Linked DNA regions of Coturnix japonica. The protein of the gene in region 1 interacts with the protein of each later gene in a pairwise test. Links are inferred from orthologs where the notes say so. Each region holds a gene or a part of one and is shown in the gene's direction. Other genes may lie near its edges. The genes, in order: IQUB and TMCC2.

The links.
Region 2: the proteins of IQUB (region 1) and TMCC2 interact in a two-hybrid assay, tested with the Homo sapiens proteins (2 studies listed by BioGRID and IntAct). The two-hybrid records come from large-scale screens. The link is inferred for Coturnix japonica from reciprocal best matches to the Homo sapiens genes IQUB and TMCC2.

Annotation. Positions count from the first base shown.
Region 1 is NC_029516.1:19,991,259-19,995,080, reverse strand, and holds part of IQUB (IQ and ubiquitin-like domain-containing protein), read left to right. Parts: coding exon 1-101; intron 102-349; coding exon 350-505; intron 506-2,301; coding exon 2,302-2,512; intron 2,513-3,822. UniProt on the Homo sapiens protein: Adapter protein that anchors the radial spoke 1 (RS1) complex to the A microtubule of outer doublet microtubules in axonemes. The triple radial spokes (RS1, RS2 and RS3) are required to modulate beating of the sperm flagellum.
Region 2 is NC_029541.1:2,363,161-2,366,982, forward strand, and holds part of TMCC2 (transmembrane and coiled-coil domains protein 2), read left to right. Parts: intron 1-2,736; coding exon 2,737-3,243; intron 3,244-3,822.

The DNA of each region.
Region 1 (3,822 bases):
AGAACAAAGTAACGGGAGTGGAATATCATAATGCAGGGTCACAAACGGTACCCAAGAAAAGACCTGAAAAAGGAACTACGGTATTTTGTAGAGAAACACAGGTAATGGTCCAATAGTGTCTTTTTAAGATACATTTAATTTTGCCAAACAACAGAATGTTTACACAATTATTTCAAACAGGAATGAGGAAGTAAATAAGTCAACAGTATGTATGCAATGGAATATATTTAATGGATTTATATAATGAGTTGTGTGATTTGGGTTTATTAATAGCTAATTTTTTGTTCTTCTTGTAATGAGAAAGCAATCTGTGTATTGTCTGATAATTTGACGTGTGTTTTCTTTCTAGACAGTTTTAGAAAGAAATAGATATCAACAAACAACAAATCCAACATCAACCCAGATGACTAAAAGGGGCGTGTATGTGTCAAACATGACTGACAAACTAATAACCCCTGGAAAATACTTTACAGCAGAGGAATACCACAAGCGTCGGCTTGACGCAGTAAGTTCTCATAGGTTTGCAGCTGTATCTGCAAAGAAAAGTAGCAAGAAGATTATCTGAATATTTAGTGGGTGTTCAGAGAGTAATTTTTAACAGTGAATTTTAAAATGTTCACATTTCCATATCTTTCTGATATAAGGGTAAGTGTGAGTGTGCACATTTACACTATTGGTGTTTCCAGCAACATTTGAGACCGTACAGTTTCTTAAATATTAATCATTGGGAATTTACTGGCTTCTGTCTTAAGTTAAACTTTTACCTATACTGTTAGGTATTAAAATAGACTTCTGCCATTGGCACTGTCTTGATCTCTTTTAGGAGGACCTGAACTACATGCTTAATGCCATCTATGACATAATGGCTAGAATATTGGATCAGGATTTATGTGACTTACATTCAACTTCTGGATTTTATGGTTTTTTTTCTGTTTGTTTGTTGTTGTTGTTCTTTTCTGTGTGTATTTACTTTATTATTTAAGAACAAACTACATGGATGCTGTGGCCTTCTGGTTTTTTAGGTTCAGAGTCTTTTGGTGCAGTGAGATGTTCATTGTAGCCAATTCTGACAACAGATGCTGGATTGTCATTGTACAGGGGATGTCTCTTTAGGCGTCCTGAACTTCTCTTTGCAAACCATCTATTCAGTGACTGCACACCTATCTTATTTACTCCCTGGCATCATGTTAGCTTGGATGCTGCTTTGTAAATGCTCCAGTTCCTAATTTAATGCTTAAAATAAGCAGCCTGAGTCTTACGAACTAGATAAAAAGTTGGTTTTCCCAAGTGTTTAAGTGGGATCATTGTATTAATGTGGCTGACGAGATGCTTTTTAAATCTTGTTATAACTTTCTATAAGAAATTCTTATTTAGTCAGCATTAGCTGACAGCAATAAGCATCTTGTAGGAATGGAAACCAAGTAGTTAGCTGTTTCCTCAGGACTATGAGTGAGTTTTACTGTGATCATTAGTGCTACTCACTGACATCTGTAACGTATCTGTAGGTAACCTACGATGCTGCTGTAAATGTTACTGCAGAATGATTTTCTTTGGTTTTCACTTCAAAAGCAAACACTTTGTAAATGTATTAAAAAATACTTTCTCTCTTCACAGCAGCTTCTTATAACTAAAACTGGCCTTCAGGTCTTAATACCGTGGGTATTGGTTAGTTTTCTGTATGTACTTTTTTCACAGTACAATAAAAGCACAGAAATATGTTTGTATTGTTGATATATAATATTTTAAAATGATTTATTTTTTAGAGTGCATCTGTGTCAAGGAATAGAGCACAGTGGAGACATCAGCTTGGTGTTGATTCAGTTTGGTGGATTTGCACAACATAATGTAGTTCTATACTGAAATAATAACTGGAGACATATCCAAGGGAAGTGTTAGGTTAAGATATCTCTAGAGGCTGTTTAGCTCTATGAGCATGGTTTTGTGTTTGGCGGCCTTCTGCACTGAATAATGCTTAATAAACTCAAAATGGCATTAAATTAACCTGACTCAAGTGCATTTGGTGCAAGTGCTAACTCAGCTGGCAGAAGAAGTTCAGGCCTGCGTATTGTCCTTCCTACTGTGATATATCTAGGCTACCTCCCTAGTATCCCTACTAAAAGAGTAAGCAGGCTAGTGTTTAGGCTAATAGTACATAACTGTTTGTAAAGCATTTAAATTAGTCTAAGTACAAGACAGATCTTAGAAAATGTAGTTAAAACGCTAAAAAATAATGGTTAAGAACAAAATGCTGTGCTGTTTGTTTTTAAATTGATGGTTCTGTGATATTTTTGTCATATGTAGGTAATAGTGTTACAGAAAAATTTCCGTCGTTGGTATGCTACGAAACTAGTAGAAAACCTGAAGGAAAAAAAGAGATTAAGGCTGGAATGGGAAGCACAGGAAGAGTTAAGGAAGAAAAAAGAGAAGGAAGACAAACTGAGAATGGAGCAGGAGAGAAAACTGAACCCTAAAACCAAAGAAGATTTCGACTTGCTGTACCACGCTTTAGAATGTAAGTTTTTCTTAAGGGGGCACTCTTAAGTCAGCAAAAAAAAAAAAAAAAAAAAGCATAGTTGAGGAGTTTTCTGGTTTTGGCAGGTTTCTTTTCCTTTTGGATCATCTCTGTTTCCATCTCCTTTTCCTTTTTCTAAGCAGTGGAATTAATTTCATTTTAGAAGCTTTTTTTATGGGGAAAAAAAAAACAAAAAAAACCCCAACAAATTAACCTATAAAACAATGCTAGTAGTTGTGTTATTTGGGAGGTATTTTTGTTTGTTTTCCCATTCATCTGTAATGATGTGAGATAGAGGAACAAGATGACCTGATATAGGTCAATAAGAAGAACAAGATTCATCTATTGTTTTCTTTTAAGGATCAGAAGACTAAGTTAGTTCTGATGCATTTAAGTCAGTGAAAATAATGTCTTGAAGGAATTGCAATTAAAATCCATCATCTGCCATTTAATTTTCATAATGGATTAAATTTTACCCAGAATTTTATGAAAGGTAAATGAGGTTCTTCATTTCATCCATGCCCTCTTCTGCTGCTGTTTCTCATCTCTAATGTATTTTGTTCATAGAACTGCTGTAACTGCAATAAAAATTTGACAAATATTTTAAAATAATATAAATGATAATATAAAATAATAAAATATTTTTAAAATCTTAAATGAAAGAAAAAAAAAAAAAAAGAAAGAAAATTAAATCTTAAGAACATTTTTTTAAGCTCCTATAGGGCATCATGAAATGTGTCTCCTAGCAGAGGGGATGGTGTCTGCAGACAAGCACTTGTAAACTTCCCTGGCAAAATAAGGTGAATGCTGCAAATAATTGGTTTAAAATCTTGCACAAGAATGATCTTCTAACTGTAACAACAAATTAACATATGGCCTTTTGGAAAAATGAAACAATGGAAAACAATGTGATGGCCTATAAAAAACCCCAACGTTGCTGTAGCTCTTTTAAAATGACCCCTTTTAAGCAAAATACTTGCACTGTCACTTTGGACAGCTCATTTTACCTAAGCTTAAGTGCTTGCTTATGGTTTAGTTCCTTGGCAGTTTTTGCATTGCTGTCCCTATAGCAGAACTGACGGAATGGATTCCTTATTCATTGCAAAGCTACCGGACCCACCTTAAACCATCCTAGCTATTTTTCCTACGGTAAACTGAGCATGAATTTGGCAGCATGTGTTATTCACGGAGCCTAAGCTCATGATTCAAGAAATCCCAAGTTATCCACTTATCTTTCAATCCTGTCATACTTTGTGTGGCATTGAACAAATTGGTCTGTCTAAATGTACAAACAACATAAATATTACTGT
Region 2 (3,822 bases), on another chromosome or scaffold:
GGTCTGGAGACCCCCAGCTGCAGCAGCACCTGGTAGCCACAGCCAGTGGTTCAGATTTGCTTGCAGGCAGAGCTGCATATCACTACAGCACTTTGGTAGTGCACAGAGCGACATGACTAACGCTTGTCACATGTTTGTTCTCTCCTCCTGTCCCCAAGAGGAGAAGCGTGGGGGGGGGGAAGTGCTTTATTTGCCATTTAAGAACATCTATATATTTGTGGTCGAAGGGTTCTGTCCTCCCTTGGTGCCCTGAGGTGCTGGGTGTTTTAGGATGGGATGGGATGGGATGGGATGGGATGGGATGGGATGGGATGGGATGGGATGGGATGGGATGCAATGGGATGCAATGGGATGCAATGGGATGCAATGGGATGCAATGGGAATGGGGTGGATAGGAGCAGCCATGCAATGGGATGCAGTGGGATGCAATGGGATGCAGTGGGATGCAATGGGATGCAATGGGATGCAATGGGATGGGATGCAATGGGATGGGATGCAATGGGATGCTATGGGATGGGATGCAGTGGGATCCAATGGGATGCAGTGGGATGGGACGGGATAAAATGGGATGCAATGGGATGGGATGCAATGGGATGCAATGGGAGGGATGCAATGGGATGCAATGGGAGGGATGCAATGGGATGCAATGGGATGGGATGCAGTGGGATCCAATGGGATGCAGTGGGATGCAGAGGGGTAGTTTTCCACTCTCTCTATGCAGTGCCTCCAATGGGCTGCAGAATACTGGCTGGAGCCTCTGGGCATGCAAAGGGTATACATTATTAATAGAAATAGTAATAATAATTGAACCTGGTGTGAGACTGTGCTTTATGGTCGTGGTGATAAGATCCCCGCCTTGTGTGAGCATCTGAAACCTGAGAAATGGGGTTTGGATGTCAGGGCAGGGCCCATCAAAGAGCTGGAAAACCTTTGGTAAGGCACCAAGAGGTTCTTCTGTGCCAAACCCAGGTCTGATCCACTGGCATAGGGATGTGATCCAGGAGCTGCTCTTCTTGCAGTCCATAGAAACCAGTTCCTGGCATCACTAGGAGACCTTACCTGTGTTAATAAACACACGTATATGTGTATTTTGGTAATAATCTTGGTGGTTTACAGCTGTCTGCACAGTGAGATTAACCTCCGTATCCATTGCATCAGTTATTAAGCAATGGCAGTTCCAAAATAGCCCATGCAGACAATCTGTTCCGAGCCACGAGCAGCTCCGTGCCAGAAAAATGCCTCTGCTGTAGAAGTGCAATCACATCCCGGAGCAACACAAGAAAAACAGAGCTTTTACATCAGCAATAACTATTGCAGGGCAGCAGCATGTTCACAGGAACCACTCTTCACTGCCAACAGGTCCATAGTTCAGCAAGCCCTACATCCAAAGCCGAGCAATGCCAGGATCCTGCTTCCTTCTTTTGGCCTCTTTTCCTTTTCTTTTCCCCTCCTTTATACTTTGGCTCCCACCCAAAGCAGCTGCTATCGAATGTCTTTATTGCACCTTTCCCTTCCTTTTGTTTCTTTTACCCTCAAGGGGAGGTGTTGCTTGTTCCTTTCCACCTGGACCTCCTAAAGGGCAAATCCATGCGTGTGAGGCTACGTCGTACCCTTGGTGACAGAAATCCATTGCTTTATGGTTATTACCCACCTAATGCTGCCTCCGTTTCCATAGAGACACTATAAATAGAATGAAATTTAAATCACCATTTCCCCAAGTAGCAATCCAGCGTGGTGGATTCATTATAGACTTTTGGGGATGAACCAAGAGGGCATGTGTTTTCATTATGGAAAGATTCAAGCTTTTCCCTGTAGTGTTTAGTTGACATGGGATGTGCTTGTGTAACACCACTCCATTTCAGGTTGGATGTTAGGATATGAGAGTGGTCCCCAGGGATAGGGAGGAGGTGCTATGGTCAATGGGCACAGTGGGATGGTTTGAGGTTGGATTGAGATCTTTCCCAGCCTTAATGGTTCTGTGATCCCCTGTGCATGCTGCAGGTGTGATGGGAATGAGCCCCTTATGGACACTGGGCTTTCATGTCTGTGGCTTTAGGAGATGGGGTCCCTCCTGTAGGGACATGAAGCCCTGTGGCCATCTGTGAATCCCAAAGGTCATATCTCAGAAATCAGTGCCTTTGCCAAGTGGCTGCTGGGGCTATAAGTAGCTCCCTGCACACTTGTTTTCAAGCATGAGTAAATGACAGTGCTCCAATTACGGGAACCAGAGTCCCTGGGGAGAAGTCTGTGCTGCACTACATCAGCAGCAAAATGCCCCTGAACCTCAGCAGGGCCAGGATCGTCATCCATAGATCCACATCATCTCCTGGTGATGCTGTCCAGGCACTGTAGTGACTGTAGGGAACTGCTCTGGAGTTACGTGGCCACAATCAGCAGTAGATTTATTCCAGCACCCAGATCACAGCCAGCCTGAGGGCAGCCATCCCCACTGAGTCCTGCTGGCCACACGATGGGGCTGATGCTGTGGGGCTGGGGGGGGACCATGGTTTCTCTTAGTAAAAACATGCCGCCCTTAGGGTTGAGGTGCTTGGAGGCTTGTGTGGCTTTCTGCATGCTTTTGCTGCTCTATCAGAGCTCTGTATGGGTGCTGCTGGAGCTGCAGCCACCCTGCGTGTCCCCAGCTCTGCATGCCATCAATCTTTATCACTCACTCAAGGTGCCTGTAGCCATCCTTCTGGACAATAACAAGACATTTTCTCCTCTCATTCCCTGCAGAAAATCCAGCAGCTGTCTGAGGGCTCCATGTTCGGTCACGGCTTGAAGCACCTATTCCACAGCCGCCGGCGGTCGAGGGAGCGTGAGCACCAGAACTCCCAGGACTCACTGCCACCTCATTATGGACTGTCTGACCACGAATCCCCCGATGAGAAGGAGCGCTCCCCGGAGATGCACCGTGTCTCCTATGCTGTCTCCCTGCACGACCTCCCAGCACGTCCCACTGCCTTCAACCGGGTGCTGCAGCAAATCCGCTCCCGTCCCTCCATCAAGCGTGGCACCAGCCTTCACAGTGGCAGCCGGAGGGCCAAGAGTGGCTCGTTGGACCCCCAGAAGGGCAGCCCACACCTCATCCGAAAAGCCCCCCAGGACAGCAGCCTCACCGCCATCCTGCATCAGCACCAGGGGCGGCCCAGGTCATCCTCCACCACTGACACTGCCATCCTGCTGGCTGAGAGTGGGGCCGTCTATCTGCTCACTGAGGACAGTGAGAGCCTGGCTGATAAGGTATGGATATTATGGGGTGGTGGAGGGCACAGAGCCATAGAGCTGGGGGTGGATCTGCTCTTGGTGCAGTGGGTTTGCAGAGAACAAATCCCTCCCTGCTGCTGCTGGGGTTTGTGCCCCTTATGGGGATGGAGAAGGCAGGGATGTGCTGAATCCCAAGCCTGGAGTTGAGTTGAGGAGCACAGAAGTGGACCTGGCAAAATTCAGATCACATTAATGTCACCCATTGTCACCTGCACCACCTCTTCCTCTCCTGTACCCAAGTTTTCCATTGGAAGAGCTGTGGCAGGAAGGATGCAGGGACTAGTGACACTGATTTTCCTCATTGTGATGTAGATCATGGGATCTTCACTCCCTTCTTCCAGGTGTGGTAGCAAAGTGGTGTCTGCCAGCAGCAGGACACAGCCAAAATGAACCCAGCTTTGGAAAGACAGCAAGAACAGCAGCTGATGTGTTCCCAGTGAAAAGAAAGATGTACTGATAGATGCAGGAAGAAAGGAAGAGCCTTGGTGCCCATGGCTGGGGCACAGTGGGAAGGGAAAAGCATAGCAAGGCTGCAGATCACCCCCTCACCCTCCC